Sus scrofa: one gene and its partners. The protein of the gene in region 3 interacts with the protein of the main gene of each other region in a biochemical or structural test. Links are inferred from orthologs where the notes say so. Each region holds a gene or a part of one and is shown on either strand. Other genes may lie near its edges.

What was found. The genes of interacting proteins can lie anywhere in the genome.
Region 1: the proteins of OIP5 (region 3) and HJURP form a complex in vitro, tested with the Homo sapiens proteins (2 studies listed by BioGRID). The link is inferred for Sus scrofa from reciprocal best matches to the Homo sapiens genes OIP5 and HJURP.
Region 2: the proteins of OIP5 (region 3) and MIS18A form a complex in vitro, tested with the Homo sapiens proteins (3 studies listed by BioGRID). The link is inferred for Sus scrofa from reciprocal best matches to the Homo sapiens genes OIP5 and MIS18A.
Region 4: the proteins of OIP5 (region 3) and MIS18BP1 form a complex in vitro, tested with the Homo sapiens proteins (2 studies listed by BioGRID). The link is inferred for Sus scrofa from reciprocal best matches to the Homo sapiens genes OIP5 and MIS18BP1.

Annotation. Positions count from the first base shown.
Region 1 is NC_010457.5:134,120,161-134,124,695, reverse strand, and holds the start of HJURP (Holliday junction recognition protein), read left to right. Parts: upstream 1-1,532; 5' UTR 1,533-1,596; coding exon 1,597-1,692; intron 1,693-1,869; coding exon 1,870-1,936; intron 1,937-4,535. UniProt on the Homo sapiens protein: Centromeric protein that plays a central role in the incorporation and maintenance of histone H3-like variant CENPA at centromeres.
Region 2 is NC_010455.5:195,925,307-195,929,860, reverse strand, and holds the start of MIS18A (protein Mis18-alpha), read left to right. Parts: upstream 1-1,551; 5' UTR 1,552-1,598; coding exon 1,599-1,941; intron 1,942-4,554. UniProt on the Homo sapiens protein: Required for recruitment of CENPA to centromeres and normal chromosome segregation during mitosis.
Region 3 is NC_010443.5:130,034,568-130,039,389, reverse strand, and holds the start of OIP5 (protein Mis18-beta), read right to left. Parts: upstream 2,913-4,822; 5' UTR 2,890-2,912; coding exon 2,568-2,889; exon of another isoform or gene 2,316-2,567; coding exon 2,249-2,315; exon of another isoform or gene 1,776-2,248; intron 268-1,775; coding exon 145-267; intron 1-144. Other genes in the region: NUSAP1 (nucleolar and spindle-associated protein 1), read left to right, coding at 3,267-3,359. UniProt on the Homo sapiens protein: Required for recruitment of CENPA to centromeres and normal chromosome segregation during mitosis.
Region 4 is NC_010443.5:175,446,394-175,451,114, reverse strand, and holds the start of MIS18BP1 (mis18-binding protein 1), read left to right. Parts: upstream 1-1,718; 5' UTR 1,719-2,917; exon of another isoform or gene 2,918-3,267; intron 3,268-4,721. UniProt on the Homo sapiens protein: Required for recruitment of CENPA to centromeres and normal chromosome segregation during mitosis.

The DNA.
Region 1 (4,535 bases), on a different chromosome or scaffold from region 3:
ATGTGTAGATTCAGTGGCTTGCTGCAAGATCCTTGTTACAGGTTGGATTCTCCAGGGAGCTGACGGGGGCAGTTACCTGCAAGAGGTTTGCTAAAGGGTGCCCCTCAGATTGGCAGCTATGAAAGGAAGGAAAAGACTGGACAGGTTGCCTCAGCTGATTCCATGCAGAGCTCAGGAATTGGAATAGCCCATCAGATTGTCCACTGACTGAAGTGGCCCAGCATTCAGTGATCTGGGCTGCCCTGGGGTTGCAGGACCTCGGGGGAGGGGCTCTCTACAACGGAGGCAATCTTTTATTTTTTTTCTTTTTACAGCCATAGGTGCAGCATATGCAAGTTCTCTGGCTGGGCTGCAGCTGCCAGCCTGAACCTAAATGCAGGCCTCACCCCATCAGCTGAGGCATATTTTGTGCCTCCACTAGTCAAGCAAGCCTGCTTCCTTTTTTTTTTTTTTTTTTTTTTTTTTTTTTTTGTCTTTTGTCCTTTTAGGGCCGCATCCGCCGCATATGGAGGTTCCCAGGCTAGGAGTCTAATCAGATCTATAGCCACCAGCCTACAGCAATCCCGAGCCACAGCAATCCAAGCCTACGCCACAGCCACGTGGGATCCGAGCCAGTGGGATTCGAGCCACGTCTGCGACCTACGCCACAGCCCACGGCAACACCGGATCCTTAACCCACTGAGCAAGGCCAGGGATTGAACCCGCAACCTCATGGTTCCTAGTTGGATTTGTTTCCGCTGCGCCAGGATGGGAATTCCCAAGTCTGCTTCCTTCTGATGGTCCTCTTGAGCAATTAACTTACAGTGGTTTCCCAAATTTCCCTGGATTTCCCTCTCTATGTGTGGTCTGTTATTGGGGCTTCTACAACTAACTATGGAGTATAACTATCCTACTCCATCCCTACGAATATTACAAAATTAATATCAATGGAGCAGAGTATGCAATATGTACGGAAAAGGTGCACCAGGTTAATAAAAAATACCACAGTGTATTTTCCTGAATCATGACGTTTACGCTATTTCTCCTTTCTAAATGCGTGTTCACTTTCATGCTCCTTTTTCTATTCTTTTCCATTGGCAAGTCCTTAGCGTCTTTCTGGGCCCCGGCTTTCTTAACTGAGCAAGGGGCCCAGAAGGGCGGGGAGAGGAAGCTGGCTCAGGGCGGGGCCAGACCCCACCTGTGGTAAGGGGCCACCCTCACCTGCCGCGAGTCCCAGAATAAGTCACCCGGACATCTCCGGTGCAAGACGGGGGACATCATACTCGTGTGGCACTGCTGAATAACAGGCACGCAAACGGCCGCAGGGGAGACCGCGTCACCCTTCTTCCAAAGCTTGGCAGCGCGCTCCCACCCCTCCTTTCCTCCCAGCGCGCGCGCTTCGGGCGGGGCGGGGCCAGAACCTCAACAACGGATTGGCCGAGAGAAAGGCGAGCGAACGTGTTTGAAAGGCCCAATCAGCGCCCGACCTTTCCAGTTTAGCCAATGGGAAACCTGAGGGGCGGGCCGGAAGGGCGGGAGTAGCTATTTGAACGGCAGCGCGGAGCCTGTCCCTTGCCCGGCTTACTGCAAGAGTTGGGTCCTGGGTAACGGCGCGCCATGGAGGGGGAGGTCTGCGGGGAGGACGAGCTCCTGCAGAAGCTCAGGGACAGCCGCCGCCGCTTTCAAAGGCGCATGCAGCAGCTGATAGAGAAGGTGCGGCCGTGGCGGGGCTAGGGGGTGGGTAGAGGAGGAGGGCGGGGGACGGGATGGGAGAAAGAGGCAGGGTTCAGGGCCCCCAGTTTTGCAGCCTCGCACTGCTGCCTTCTTAAGGAGAGTCAGGGGTTGCTCTCGGCCCTCCTATCTCACGAGATGCCCCTTCGTCTCCTACAGTACGACCAGCCCTTCGAGGACGGCCCGGTGGTGCAGATGTCCACGCTGACCTACGAGACGCCCCAAGGTACGAGTCAGGCCCCCTTTCTGAATATTTACGGTCCAGAGTGTAACTAGAATAATGTCTCACTAGAGTGTGAAATGCTGTCCCGTCTCTCTTGAAAATAAACTTTGTTCACCTAGTCGGTACTAAAACAAGTTCCCTTGAACCTATAAATTACTTAATTTACTTATTTCTAACAGAATTACTTATTAAAACAGAGTTCTGAAGACACCTAGATGCATCCTGGTTAAGAATGCCCCTGCCTAGGTTGGCATCCCAGCTGGCCACTTAATAGCCATTGCTTTAGCCAGGCTGTGACTGTTTCTTCATGAAAAGGTAATGACAGTCATGTCTACATGGCATGGATACTATGACAGTGACATGAGACGAAGCTCTTGGAACAGAGCCTGGCAATGGTAAACACTTGAATTGACTGTTATTTGACCTGTTTGACTTGAAGTTCTGAGCCCTTTGGAATTTGACCTAAATCCTGGAGGAGGGACCCATTCTGTTTGATGGCTGATGTGACAGCAGACTTAAATCTCATGGATTCTCTTTGGCAAACAGCTGGAGAAAGTCTGTGCTGAGCGAGGCCAGTTTCTGCTCTTCAGCCTTATTAGCGACTCACCTACTAATAAAAGTGACTCTCAGATGCTGAGACCTGGTTCTGCCATGCCCTGGACAGACAGGCACAAAACCGTAAATAAATGAAGTCCTAGCTCTGCTTTTTTTTTAGCTGACCCAGCTGTACCTTGGGTTAAAAGTTTATGCAGGCAGAAGCTAAGGTCTTCCACCGACAGGTCTCTGCTACTCTGGCCTGTGCCAGGTAGGAACAAATATAACCCAGGGCAGGACACAGGAGTGTGTCATAATCCTTCCTAACCATGCTGTCAGCAGGCTTCACTGTTCTCATGGCCTGTCTGTGCGAGGATGGGCGGTGTCTGGAATATTCTGGTCAAACCCCATATCTTGAACACCACTAGTTTCACCAGTGAAAACTCATCTCGGACTCCAGTTTGATGACAGCAGTAGTCAAAGCATCAGATACTTTAGCATGTGGAAAACCTCCTGGGAGATTATTGAAACAGATTCCTGGGGCCACGGGCCACGATGGCTGTGGACTCCACGTGGGTCTGTGTTCTAACACACTCCTAGCTGATGGGAGAGCAGCCCCCCAGACCTGTCAGTTCCCCTGGAGAGGTGCTCAGGGAGTGGCCTTTCTGATTAAATGCTCACTGACCACCTTTGCAGGGTGATTCCCAACTTAAGGCCACACCAGAGGGGGTAGATTGAAACTAAGGACCACACAGTTTAAGATGAAGACAGCAGGCCAATAATAGTCACTGATACATGTTGACAGCTAAGCGTGTGCCCACACGGCTAAGAGTCTCAGGTATCTCATTCTCAACAACCCTGCCAGGGAGCACAGTTGGCGGCGTCATCGTTTTTTCATAGCAGAGGATACAGTCAGAGAGGGGTCCCCAAACTTGCCCCGGGTCACTCAACCAATGTGGCAAAGCCTTTGTTCAAGCATCACTGTTCTGGAAAGGCTGCACAGCACAGTGGTCAGAAGCCCAGGGTTAAGTCCCCTGGGGTCACAGCCTTGGCTGCGCCTCGTGGGCAAGTGGCCTGGGCTGGTTACTTGACCTTCTCCTTTCCTCCTCTGTCTCCCGACAGTGAACTTGGTGAGTGCCTATCCCAGAGGCATTAGGAGTGCTGTGCTGTGTTGTGTGTGCGTTGTCGTGATGCTCAAGGAGGTGTCCTTGGACAGGGTGGGGACTAGAGCCTCGAACCCTGTAAGCACTTGTGGACATTTTTGCTGCTGTCATCATCCGCAACCATCTCAAGCCTCGCGACCCAGCGGTCCCTTCTTTGTTAACCTGAATTTACCTGGAAGCCCATGGAGGTTTAGGGAGAGACTGAGTATCTTGCCCAGATTCTGCTAGTGAGTCCGTGCAGGACTCCCAAACTCAGGGTTTACCCCATGCCTAGGGCTTGCTGTGTGTAGATTACCCTGAAAAATTACTTATTCTGAACTTGGGGTAAAGAGATTGCCTTCAAAAGGAGCTTTCTGATTGTTATGATCATTATACAACTACAGATGTGATAAATTCATTTGAGTAATAAAAAAATGGAAAAAAAAAAGAGCTTTCTTACTCTCTGAGGATATAATTGCCCTCAATATACGTATATTTTGAGGACAGTACTTGTCATACGGATGCTCCTTGTTTCCATTTATTTTGTGGCTCAGCACCAAATTCAACAAGCTTCCTGCTTGGTAGGAGAGGTTAATGACAGATTTTTTTGTTAACGACCAATTTTTGTCTAGTCTCGATTTAAAAAAGAAAAAGGGAGTTCCTGTCATGCCTCAGCGGAAACGAATCTGACTAGCATCCATGAGGACCCAGGTTCGATCCCTGGCCTCTCTCAGTGGGTTATGGATCCAGGGTTGCTGTGAGCTGTGGTGTAGGTCACAGACATGGCTCGGATCTGGCGTGGCTGTGGTTGTGGCGTAGGCCAACGGCTGCAGCTCTGATTCGACCCCTAGCCTGGGAACCTCCATATGCGGCAGGTGCAGCCCTAAAAAGACAAAATAAAGAAAGAAAAAAGAAAGCCTTCAACC
Region 2 (4,554 bases), on a different chromosome or scaffold from region 3:
GAGGCATATCATCTCATGCTTTTATTTGTGCTTGTCTAGTTAAGTAAGCCTGCCTCGTTCTGATGCCTTTCTCGAGCGAATATTAACTTACCGTGGTCTCCCAAGTTTCCCTAGGTTTTCCTATCTACGGTCCCCTATTGGGATGTCTACAACTAGCTGTGTAATTATCCTACTCTATCCCTATCACTTCCAGGGTCTCATCTGAGCAATAACATGGCAGAAAAAGAACCTGTGACGAGTGGCTCCCCAACAACCCCAGCCTTCTCCACCTTGGGGAAATTAGGCAGACAAACTGGAGCAGGGGCAACCAAAAGTGGAGGTGTCCTTACTGACAGTATTTGTGTCACCCAGGAGCTTGTTAAGCAAATTCTTGGGCCCATCCTGACTTTTTTTTTTGCTTTTTTAGTGGCGTACCCTCGGCATATGGAGATTCCCAGGCTAGAAGTCAAATCGGAGCTACCGCTGCCAGCCTACACCACAGCCACAGCAATGCCAGATCTGAGCTACAGCTGCCAGCCTACACCACAGTTCACGGCAATGCCGGCTACTTAACCCACGGAGTGAGGCCAGGGATTGAACCCTCAACCTCATGGTTCTTAGTCGGATTTATTTTTGCTGCACCACGACAGGAACTCCTGACCTATTGATCGAGAACCTTCAAAGGTGGTTTGGAGGAAGAATGTTGCCTGTCCTGTCAGTAAACAAAGGATGTTTCAGCTATCAAGCCATCGGCCACTGCAACCAACCCAGTTGTGCTTAACTAGATAGTTAAGATGCACATCGAAGGAATGATTTCGATGGGCCCAGATTTTTGCATCTTCCCAGTCTTAGAAAAGTGCTCAATTCGTTAACTTAAGTTGTCTGGTTTTCTTCAGTCAACAGCAATTTTTTGATGTTCCAACTATCTGGGGTTGCTTTTGTTTTGCAAAGACTCCTACATACCCTGGCTCCTCCCTTGCCTCTAGGAGCAGTCCCTCACAGCTATCTGAGAGGCTGACTCCAGGGCAGAAGTCCTTAAGCAAGTCCACCAAATAAGACAAAATTTTCAACTTTTAGGTTGTGCACCCCCCCCGCACCCCGCCCAGTGTACCGGGGGAATCAGAAATCTGTGTTTTAACCAGCTTAGGTGACTCTTAGGCATGCTAAATTTGATGGGTTGTAGTACTTGGAGATGGGACACGCCATAGAAAGCAGCAGTGTAGCCAACTCCTCTATCTCTAGGTGGTGGGTGGGTTGCACATTTGCTTTCCTAACCATTGCCAAGGTCTCCGCGATGGGTCGGTAGTTTAGTCTGCCATCCCTAATTTTTTCAAAGACTCCTCCCCTCCTGTGTTAGAGGGTGAACCCTCCTCCCGAAATAGCCTACGGAGCGGGGCTCCTGCAGTCTCAATTTTCTAAGGTTGGAAAACCTGAGGCAGGAGCATGGACCGCCTGGCTCAGCCCAGCTCCTCTGCGAGCATGCGCGCTACTAGGCTGCCCGCGGTTCCTCTTCCCTTAGACCCCGCCCCTTCGTCACCGCCTCGCTCCGCCCCTTCGCCTCGCGCATGCGTAGGGGCGTTTTTCCCGTCACGCTCCGCGGCGCGGGCAGTTTGTAGCTAATGGCGGTTGCTTGGTCTCCAAATAGTTGCAAAGGATGCTCCTCTACTAGCTGTGCATGTGGCGACAAGGGCAAGTGGAGCGACTCCTTGCTGTTAGGCAAGCGGCTCTCAGAAGACTCTAGCCGCCAACAGCTGCTGCAGAAGTGGGCGAGCATGTGGAGTTCCGTGAGCGAGGACGCGTCGGTGGCCTGCACGGAAAGGACGCGGCGCGAGGAGGCTGCGAAGACCGCGGACGAGGAGGACAGGCCGCTGGTGTTTCTGTGCTCTCGCTGCCGGCGGCCTCTGGGGGACTCCCTGAGCTGGGTGACGAGCCAGGAGGACACCAACTGCATCCTGCTGCGTTGTCAGTTCGGGCCATGGGAGCTTAGGGCTTAGGGCTGCCTTCTTCCCGGGGGTACAGTACCTGCGCGGCCTCGGAGGAGGCGGGGTGGGGGTGTGTGTTTTCTGGCTGCTTGGGGTCTTTAAAAGCAGAAAAGTCTGAGAGGATGAGAAAAGGGGGAGGAGGAGAGTCACCCTTGCACTTTGGGCTCACAAGTGACAAGTCCTTTTCTGGGGTCTCCCATCATTATCGCCGTGAGCATTTCTTAGAGAAAAGTGACAACTAGGTTGTAAGCATTTGGGGCGTGGCCACTCTGTATTACTCCTCGTGGAAATTAGTGGGCTGTTCATCGGTAAATAATAGTGTTCCTGGTTTATTTAGTAAACCAAGCTTCTCAGCTACCTGCTTCTTGCAAGAGATATCAGGTTTGATTTATCAAATCTTATTTGTATCAGCGGAGACTTTACAATCAGAAGTGCTGCAGCCATACAGTTGACAGAACATAATGCTATCCAGAAAATTAAAGGAGACTTGCAATGAAAACAGCAATGATCCCATCAAAATTGGAGAGGAAGGAGGATGTAGTAAAAGTTAAGAAAGTCGCGGCTTTAGCTTTTAATACTGGCTCTACCGATTATCTGTATGTTTCTCCGTTTCCTTGTTTTGTTGTTTCCATAGTGTTTCTTTATTTTTCCATAGTGTTTCAATATTTTTTCTGAGTTGTTGTGAAAATCTCTATTCTTTTTGGACTTGTGGTTTTCAAGATGAAGTTTATATGCTCTGTTTGGATTCTGCAGATAATTTGGTGGCATACATTCACCACCAAAATTTATTAACATTTGTGGAATGTTTGCCTTCCTGGGATATATTAAGAAGAAAGTAGGGCAGCGGGTGTCCACCTGAAACTTTTTGCAACCTATAGTTTTCCTTAAGGATGCATCAGTTCATTGACAATAATTGCCGGGAGTCCCTTTCAGTTATTAAACATAAGCCTAAGGACATACATTTCCCATAGTAATTCACTAAGATTAACCCTTTGCACCTATTAAATTGTGCAGAAGGATGTAAAAGTAAAAAGAACTTATCCTCCTGACCCTGATATTCTCATGGTCCCAGAGTTCAACGTGCTTTATTCTCGTTTATACTTCCAGATACTCTTCATGCATTTATGAGCATATTTAAACATATATCTTAAAATTTTTACAGTATAGTTGATTACAGTGCCAATTTCCGCTTCTGCGGTATAGCAAAGTGACTCGGTTATACACATATATACCTTCTTTTTTATTTTCTTTTCTATTATGGTTTATCCCAGGAGATTGGATATAGTTCTCTGTTCTATACAGTAGGACCTTACCCGCTGTGTGTGTAATACTTACATCTGCTAAACCCAACATCTCTCAGTTCATCCCCCTCTTCCCCTGTCTATGAGTCTAAACATGACAGTATGAGAGGGTTTTTTTTTGTCTTTTTGTCTTTTTAGAGCTGCACCTGTGGCATATGGCTAGGGGTCAAATTGGAGCTGCAGCTGCTGGCCTGCACCACAGCTACAGCAAGACGGGATCTGAGCTGCGTCTGTAATTTACACCATAGCCAATGGCAACGCCGGCTTAACACTGAGCGAGGCCAGGGAAGGAACCTCGAGTCCTTATGGATACAAGTCGGGTTTTTTAATTTTGTGGCCACACCCATGGCATATGGAATTTCCTGGGCCAGGGATTGTTACCTACCATGCAGCTGTGGTGACACTGGATCCTTTAACCCACTGCACCAGACAGGGGATGGAACCCACACCTGCACAGTGACCTGAGTTGCTACAGTTGGATTCTTAACCCACTGTGCCATGGTGGGAGCTCCAACATGTAAATTAAAACACACACACTTGAGATTATATTCTTTTTTTTTTTCTTTTTTGTCTTTTTGCCATTTCTTGGGCGTCTCCCGTGGCATATGGAGGGTCCAAGGCTAGGGGTCTAATCAGAGCTGTAGCCACCAGCCTGCACCAGAGCCAGAGCAACACGGGATCCGAGCCTCGTCTGTGACCTACACCACAGCTCATGGTAACGCTGGATCCTTAACCCACTGAGCAAGGCCAGGGATCGAACCCGCAACCTCATGGTTCCTAGTCGCATTCATTAACCCCTGAACCACAACGGGAACTCCTGAGATTATATTCTTTATACTTGTAAGAATCCTTACTTTTTTATCCTTCACAGATATTCCGAGTGTTTTTCTATATTAGTGCATATAGATACACTTTACGTTTTTAACAGCTGATTGTTGTACCCTTGCTGAGAGGGTTTGATATAGGTGATGGCCCTCAACTGCATGGGTTTGAATCCTGACCTGCCACTTACTAGCTGTGTCTTTTGGGGCAAGCTGCTTAGCCTCTCTTTGCCTCAGTTTTCTCCTCTGAAAGATGGGGGTAATGAGGAGGATTAAGTGAGTTACGGCGTGTCATGTGCTCAGATGACATAGCTGGTGCCACTTAGTGATTTATTTGATGGAGATGCCATTCTTCCTCCCAGTCTGCCCCTCTTGATAGAGGTCTAGGCTTTTTACCGCGTTGCCACCGTTAGAACAGCTTGTATGTATTTGAGTTGAGATTTTTTTTTTTTTTTTTGGTCTTTTTTGCCA
Region 3 (4,822 bases):
TGATAATGAGACTCTATTTTGGCCCTACTGCCATCTCTTTTGTGAGAAACAACATTTGGTTTACTATCTTCTCTGGTAAAAACATTCTGCCTTTTTTGTAAGATCTTTTAAAATTTATTTGATACAGAAGATGAGTCTACTTACCATACCATTTTGTCACTGGAAAGGCAAAAGTGACCTCTCAAGGCAGCCAGGGCAGCATGGGTAGAATACAAATGGAAACCAATGGGAATCACACAGGAACTACAGAATAAAAGGTTGTAAGTGCTGAGGGAAAAAACAGAATATGGATAAGAAAGAAAATCAGAGAACAAAGACAAAATGTCTCTGGACCCATTCCTAAAAATTAGACTGTAATAGAAATGAGAGCGAAGAAATGTCACATTCAAGAAAAGTTAACTTGTGGAGTTCCCGTCGTGTTGCAGCAGAACAAATCCAACTAGGAGCCATGAGGTTGCTGGTTCGATCCCTGGCCTCACTCAGTGGGTTAAGGATCCGGCTTGGATTTGGCGTTGCTGTGGCTGTGGTGTAGGCCAGCAGTTGCAGCTCCGATGTGACCCCTAGCCTGGGAACTTCATATGCCACAGATGCAGCCCTAAATAAATAAATAAATAAATGTATATAACTACACATGACCATATAAATTAACCACCATCAAATTGATTTCCAGTTGAAGTATGATAATAAACTTGATTAGGGCTTACTAAGCAATTTATTAATGGAACTCAAATCAGGATTTTTCTTTCAAAGATATAACAAAAAATTAATTTTAGGAGTTCCTGTTCTGACTCAGTGGTTTACAAACCCGACTATTATCCATGTGGATGCAGGTTCGATTCCTGCCCTCACTCAGTGGGTTAACGATCCCGCATTGCCATGAGCTGTGGTGTAGGTTACAGACACAGCTGGGATCCAGGTTGCTGGGATCTAGGCCAGCAGCTACAGCTCTGCTCGACCCCTAGCCTGGGTACTTCCATACGTCACAGGTGCAGCCCTAAAAATACAAAAAAAAAAAAAAAAGAATACAAGCCACATAAGTAATTTTATATTTTCTATCAGTCTTGCTTAAAAAATTTTCTGTCGGAGTTCCTGTCATGGCTCAGTGGTTAACGAATCTGACTAGGAACCATGAGGTTGAGGGTTTGATCCCTGGCCTTGCTCAGTGGGTTAAGGATCCGGCGTTGCCATGAGCTGTGGTGTAGGTTGCAGACACAGCTTGGATCCTGTGTTGCTGTGGCTCTGGCGTAGGCTAGTGGCTACAGCTTAGATTCGACCCCTAGCCTGGGAACCTCCATATGCCACGTGAGCAGCCCAAGAAATGGCAAAAAGACAAAAAAAAAAAAAAAAAAAATCTGTCAACAGGTGAAAGTTTTTTTTTTTGTTTTTTTTGTTTTGTCTTTTTAGGGCCACACCCACTGCATATGGAGGTTCCCAGGCTAGGGGTTGAATTGGAGCTGTAGCTGTCGGCCTATACCACAGCCACAGAAATGCGGGATCCGAGCCGTGTCTGCCACCTACACCACAGCTCATGGCAACACTGGATCCTTAACCCACTGAGCAAGGCCAAGGATCAAACCTGTGCCCTCATGGATCCTAGTTGGGTTGGTTAACCGCTTAACGATGGGAACTCCAAAATTATTTTTAATATATTTTATGCTACCTGTTATTCAAAAATATCATTTCAACATATAATCAATATTTTAAAATTCTTCAAAACTTTAATCACAGCATATTTCAATTCAGAATGGCCACATTTTTTTGTTTTGTTTTTTTAGGGCCATACCGGAGGCATATGAAGGGGAAGGTTCCCAGCAACATCATATCCGAGCCAAGTCTGAAACCTAGACCACAGCTCAAATCAACACTGGATTCTTAACGTACTGAGCGAGGTCAGGGATTGAACCCACAACCTCATGGTTCCTAGTCGGATTCGTTAACCACTGCGCCAGGATGGGAACTCCAGACATAACTTTCTTAAACTCACTTCCACAAGGCGCGAGGTAGATGTGGCCCTCAGACTTTAAAACCTACACACAAATACAGCTTTTCCATTTCATTGCTATATCAACCTCGTACAAGACTCAATCAGGTAAAAGGAGAATCCTTCAGATATGGATGGAAGAAACTTTTCTTCTAGCACAAGGTAGGAATAAACTGTTTTCTCCTCGTGCAAGTCGGTTCCATTCCCCCCTCGGTCTCATTAAATCTGGGAATGACTTAATGACCATCTGGAATTCTCAGTACGTACCTGCCTTTGAGCGAACCTTCAATGCCAACTAGGAAAGGAGCTTCCAAAACTACGTTATTTGTGACTCCTAGGAAAACAAACACGGGTCAGAATGACTACCTGTGAGGCAATGAAAGGGGAAACCTCTTCCTTCCAGAAAGACTCATCACAGCCACAAAAAAAAACTACGAAAAGTCGCCCCCACCCACCCCTGGCAAAGGAGTTCATTTCTTTCAAATTTTCAACTCGTTTTCTTCCCCGTGAGTTCTAAGCCCCCAATAAAAAGCCGCAACTCCCTCTCGACCCGCCTACGCCTTCCCCAGACACTGCTCCCACTCACTGGAGAAGGCCACGGCTCCAAGGGACCGCGACAAGTCCCATGCGAGGTGCACCGAGTCGGCGAGCACAGCGTAGCAATGCGCACACTGGAACACGGCGCACCTCTCGGGCTGCAGCCACCATGGCAGCCGCGGGGCCGCTGGGGGCTCCTCCGGCCCGAGCCCAGCGGGGCCAAGCGGCGAAGACCCCTTCACCACCTGCGTGTCCCACTCCATGGAAGTCGTAAGAGAAGTTTCGTCAGTCGCCTTCTTAGGGCCATCACAAAAGTCACGCCGCGACTGCCTTGGATAGCACGAGCGATGCCTCCGCGGCCGCGCCGCCATCTTCCCGCAGCCCCCGCCTCCGTTTCAAAGACGCGCCAGGCCCCGCCCCAAGCTCAGTTCCTGAGTCCTCATTGGACAACGTGTATCGGGGTTTCTGCCGCGCACTCGTTGCCTGGACACACTGTTTGGCGCCCAGGTGTTGGCGAGGGGTGGAGGAGAATGTGCGTCACTGGGAGGGGAAATAAGCCTTTCTATTGGTCAATACCGGGAGACCCTGCCTATGAGGCAGTTTTAACCAATGGAAGTGCATCATTCGTAATTTAAACTCTCTATAAAATTCGGTTTGGTTAACGCTTCGAGCCGCGCCAGAGTTTTCAACCGTGCTTTGGAGAGGGGGTTACTGATCTTCTTCGTGGTCGCCTGGATTGCAGTTCGCCATGATTGTGTCCTCCCTGGAGGAGCTGGACTCCTTCAAATACAGTGACCTGCAGAACTTGGCCAAGAATCTGGGCCTCCGGGCTAATCTCAGGGTATGGGGCCGGTGGCGGGTGGGGTAGTATGAGCGGCCTTTTCAAGACTCGATGGGGGCTGGGTGGGGGGAACCTGAAAGACTGAGGCGGCTGTCCTGGCCCTGGGGCGGTTGGTTTGGTTCACCCAAGGGTCCTAGTAACTTTGCAAAACCGAAAGGGAGCCGTAGTTTTCAGCTTATGTTGCGGCTGACTTTTTTGGAGGCTCACGAAGGCCCCGGCTCCAAAAGGGTTTGGCTTGGGTTTTTTTTTGAAGTACTCGATAGTAATTGTCAGGGCTTCAATTACAAAACGCAGGCTTAGAAAGCGAAAGGAATGCTGCTTCTAAATGCCGATTGTTAGGCAGTCGCAGAAATAATTGCCTAGGCTTCTGGAAAACTGCAAACAACGAACACTTTTTGTGTTATAACAGCGCCCCAAATCTATTTTCATGGGGAACCTGGAAGAAAGAACTTTTAGAGGACCCCTCTCATCACCTTGGAAAAGTTTTTATAACAGCTCTGATCTAGTAGGATAGTTCCTTCATTGGCCACTGCTGTGGTAGTGTTCTAGTCAAAGCCGGTAAAGTCTTTGACTCCGAGACTGCAAACCCCTTGGGGAAATGCAGGGTTTTAATTTGGGATTGAAGTTTTTTATATTCTAGAGGAGTTTTCCCACACAGTATTAATGTATACTCTGGAGATTTGTTCAGCAAGCTGTCGTATTTACACTGAATGAATGCCTAAATCAGTCCTCACAAGTGTTTCTAGGTGGTTTAAAGAAAATAATCTGTCTCTGCACCTGTTGGGGCTAAATGATAAAGGACTATCTTTGGAAATATTTCTGAGCTATTGTGTTTAATTGCTCCTCAATATTTTTATAAACAAACCTTAATTCTGTACCTTAAATCTCTAAATTATTTTTGTAATCTGGCTGGACTCTTTTACCCAAAGCACCATCCAAACTGTACTGATCCCTGAACACTTGGCACCTTTGTCCATCATCCTTTCTTTGCTAATTTTGGCCCTTTAATCTCAGATCCTTTTTTCTCTCCTTCATGTGCATGAATAATTCCCAATTACTCTCCAGTCCAACAAGAATGTTATCACTCTCTTTGAGACCCTGTAGGCTTTCCACCTTCCACTGGCAATTTTTGTAGGTATGTTCTCTCTTCTACTAAAAGTTAAGTTCTTTGAACAGTATTTCTTGTCACTACAGACCCCAGTACCTGCCTGCCATTCAGTATCTGGCACATAGTAGGTGTCAATAAATATTTGGTGAGGGATACTATTTCCCAGACAAATTTGATTTTACAAGGCATTATTATAACCAACTATAAAAAAACTTTTGAGATAATTGGAGAAAATTAAACATGGACTAGGTATTAAATTATATGATGGTATTGTTAATTTTAAGTATGATCATGGTATTGTGGTTATGCTTTTTATTTTAAGTCCTTGTTTCTGGGAGTTCCCATTGTGGCTCAG
Region 4 (4,721 bases), about 45 Mb from region 3:
CACAAATGGCAGATCTGCATCAAAGCCTAAAGATTTACCAGGCCCAATTCTGCTTCCTACTCCTTTTTTCTTTCACAAATGGCAGATCTGCATTAAAGCCTAAGGATTTACTAGACCCAATTCTTTTTCCTCCCCCTTAAACTTTCACAGGCCATATCTCTCAACAAGTCTCTTGTATTCCGAATTCCATCTTACCATCAGCTTCCTGCAGGAGCCAAACTAATACACCTTCATAGCACTTATTACAATTTGTAATAGTATGTTTATATGTTTATGTGCTTGTATACTGTCTCTATTATACAACAATCTTCTTGACAGTCTTTTCTACTGAAGAATCCTCCTCTTAAAAGCCTGTAAAACCTCCCTGTTGATTCCATTTTCAACCTTCCTCTAAGCCCAGAGAGGACAGTAGTATTTGCACAGTTATGCCTTACACTGGGAACACAGAGTGAAAGGAGACAAAAATCCTAATTCAGGGCTACATGTTACAAGTGTAGGATCTTGCAACTTTGGCATTACTGACATTTTAATCTTGATAATTCTTTAAGAATTATCAATAGCTGCCCTGTGCATTATAGGATGTTTAGCAGCATTTCTATCCTCTACTCAATAGCTACAAGGGCCATCCTTCTCAGTCCTGACATTCATATTTCCAGACATTGCCAAATGTCCTCTAGGGGTGCAAAATTATCCCTGGTTGAGAACCACTGGCCTTGATGAAAGAGTATCTTTTTTCTAATTCCCCCCAAAATGCTATATGGTCAAGTAGTGCCCCTACTGGAACTTACCATGGTGCTGGGAATATTCCTCCAAGCTCAGCAGACTCAGATCCCTTGGTAGCAACTCCCACACAACGATTAGAGGAATCGGCTCCTCCAATATCTGTCTTTTGGACCCTAAGTGGGTCTGTATACATTCCCAAGAGTTACAGACTTAGGACAGATTATTCCAGCTGCCTGACTGTGAATATAAGAAGCTCTCCATCCCCAGCAGATATAAACTTAAACGGTCCATCCGAGGCAGCATATCAATGTCCAACGGACAGATGAACATTGTCCCTTGGCCTGTATGCCTTCTCTCTGTACTTTTTTACCCACAAGCTGTTATCCAGGTTTCCTTAGAAAATTATTTGTCATTCTTATGTAAATTCCTGTTGCAGTTCACTCTGGAGCGCACTAGATCCTAGTTACTTCTCACACGAGAAACAGTTAATTTAAAAAATTAAACTGAGTACCTGCCCTTAATATTTCAAGGTTCCTATTTTGACTGAATGTTGTGAGTCATGTCTATCTCTATCATCAGGAATAGAAAACTTTCACATTTCCATTTCAGATGCTTTGAAATATGAATGCCTGTCTCTTTAAAACCCCTCTATCCCACAGAGTTTATTTCATAGATGTCATTAAACACATATTTTTAAGTCTGGCTTTTCCCACAGATCTGGTGCAAATCCATGTCCAGTCAATTTCCCATTATGCTGCAGAAATAGAAACTTCATTTATCTACATGGATTTTCTTAGGTGGGGAATCGTACATGACCTGCTATGCACCACCTAAACTCTAATCAGACTTAAAATCTAGAAGGCTGATCCCCTGGGGAACAATGAGCTGCCTTGGAGACCAGTTAAAGAGTCATTCATCAGACGATGTTCTTTTACAACTGCCCTCTACCCCCCACCCAAAACCATTACTTACATTCCTAAGGAAACTGCCTCCCCCTAACCCTTGAATACTGACCTAGCCCAAGAACAAACCTGTGCTGAAAATAGAAACTACCCCTTTTCCTACATCACTAACTGCTCCCTAAGCAGCGGAGAACCTGAGCTCTCTCCCGACTCCTGGCCAATCTGTTGGTCCATAAAACTGGCTTGAAGTCTCAGAGCTCCAGCCTACTGTCTCTTCTTTGATTTTTCCGCTCTGACAGATTTGCTTTCCTCGTTCTACCCCCCAACTGGTTTCTTTTTTTTCTTTACTTGCAATCATTTTATGCTTTAAATTTACATTTTGGATTCTGAATATTTGGTGAATACAGGATTTAGTGGATACAGACTTTAGAAGAAGGGCTCGCAACCATCTCTTTAAAAAATTAATTCATTACAGCCATTTCAGTCCAGTCTTATCGGACAGATGCGATACATGATTCTAGGATGCTGAGAACTTTTCTTGGATGAAGCAAAAAATAAACTCTCCTGTCCTAAATGCGTACTTGGTGAGGAGGGGGGCGGAGTTCATGGAAAGAAGGTGCAGGATTGGAGCCAGAAGGGATTTAGGGCTGAAAACACTAGTTACTCCTCTGGCTCCTTTTTCTCTGCCAAGACTGAAACAAGGGGCACTACACAATGCTTCCGGCCGGCAACTGCGGCTTGCTGGGGCGCTGAAGCGGGGGATACACAGTGCTCCGCCGTGGCTACGGCACAGCATCACTGGGTGTGGTCTGATACGGCTCGGTCTAACTGCAACTGTAAGGCAAACCAGGGTAGCCGAGATTAAGGCTTTAGGATTCAGTAAGTTTCTTAAAAACAAAGCAAAACAAAAGAAAATTTCCCGGGGGGAATAGCTCAAACTAAGTATCCCATTGCGAGTATAACTTTGCATTTAGTCCATTGTTTCAAGAACAAAACGCTCCTTCTCGGCCTCAAATACCTGACGGCCTGAGAAAACTAAAGGCTCTTAAACGGATTCGGCAAGCAGTTTTCTTTCAGACGGAAGGGAATGCACAACCAAATTCTATCAGCATTCACGCCAGTAGGGGAGGAAGGTAGCCGGGAAGGACCAAAATTAAAAACCCACAGAAGTGCCAGAGCGCGCAGACGACGTCTGACGTAGTCTTCCTGCCGCAGAGCATTTCGGGAGGAACGGCAGAATGCGGGGTTGGCTCCTTCTCTGAAGAGGAAATTAATTTCGAGGACAGCTAGAGGTGCGTGCCCGGTACCCGTGGCAACTTGGGGTTGCCTACGTTTTGTAGAAAGAGCACTGCCCTCGCGGAGCGGGGACCGCCCCACGTTTTCCTGCGTCCCAGAGAGACGCGTGGTGACGCAATTCCTGAGCGCGCCAATCCCTGGTGCCTGGAGGGCAGGCTCTTAAAATTTGAATTGCCAGATAGTTTTGGTGTTAGGGAACCTCAAGGAGGTGGTGAGCGTCACCTGGTGCTCGGCCGCTGCGGCCGACTTGGGCCAGAGGCAGAAGCCGTGGTGTTCCTGCCCGCCCTCTAAGCGAAGTCGAGCCCGGGCCGCCGCCGTCTCTACGGTGCCGGTCTCTTCACCCAAGGTACGGCCTCTTCGCCCCGCTTCTTTCGTCTCCTCTCTCCCGTCCCTTCTGGCACTGTGACTTCCAGCACTTCAGCGTAATGGTCCCACGCAGACTTTTTTTTTTTTTTTTTAATTTTCCCACTGTACAGCAAAGGGATCAAGTTGTTTTTGTACATTTTTGCCTTTGGCAGTGGTATCACAACTGCTCGTTCATTAGGTGTGATTTGTTGCGTTTCTGCTGTAGTTATTACGGAAGTAGACCACTTCCGTTCAGATTCGTTTCGATGGTGAGCGCTCTAAACTTTACTCTAAAATCACTTCTAGAAAAAAAAAAAGTTTCAGATAATTACCAAGTAGAAAAATTGTGTGCGTCACCGTCACTTCCTGATTCTTCACCTTGGAACCTAGGATTCACAAAGCTAAAGAAACAATTGATCCATCCAGCTTATGTTTTCTTTTGATTACATATTAGTTGCAAATACTTACAAATGTTAAATTAAAAAATATTTAGGAAATGGGAGCCCTCTTCATCCTACTTCTCAAAGATAAACTCTGTTTACAATTTGGTCTACTTCCAGTTTTTTTTTTTTCCCCTATGTCTATGTATTTCCCTCTTCCTTTATTTAGGTGTTTATTTATTTATTTATTTCAGAAATTCAGTTACACCTCCTGTTCCTTTTCCTTTTTTAACTTAGTATATCCTAGTTGTTTTCTATGTCAGTGTGTATGTATATTCTTTTAGTGGAATAGGTAGAATTCAGTTGTGTGGATGTAGCAGAATTTTGTCCCATCTTGGTAGACATCTAGATTGTTTCTAATTAGCCCAGTACTTCAGTGAACATTCTTTTATACTGCCTCTTTAAGAACTTGGGCTTTAAAATCGGATAGCTGGGGGTCCTGCTCATAATCATTGTCAGTGGGACTGTGGGCTGGTTATTTAATCACTCTATGCCTTAGTTTCCTAATTCTCAAAATGAGAATAACAACAGTACTTTACTCTTAAGCATTGCTGTAAGATTAAGTAGTGTCTAGCATATATGCAGTAAATGTTGACTATTATTACCACATGTATTTGCATTCTTGTATTGATGTTTCTATAAGAAAAAAATTAAAAGTGGAATTTCTTGAACAATGGCATGCACATCTATATTGTGGAATTAATCTTTACCAATCTGATAAGCATAAGTAGTTTCACTGTTTTAATTTATAAGCTCTTCATTAATTAGTAAAAATAAGTCTCATTTTCACTTATTCATTAGCCTTTTGTACTCTGTTAATTCCCTTTCATTTCCTTTAGCCATTTTCTCTTGATCATTTCTTTAAACTGATTCATTTGTTTTCTTTGCATATTGTATGTATCAGCCCTTTCTATGTCATATGCTGCATGTATTTTTACCCAAGTGTATCATTTGCCAATTAACTTAATATCATTTTTTTCCCAACTATGCAAGAATGCAAATACATATGGTTTTG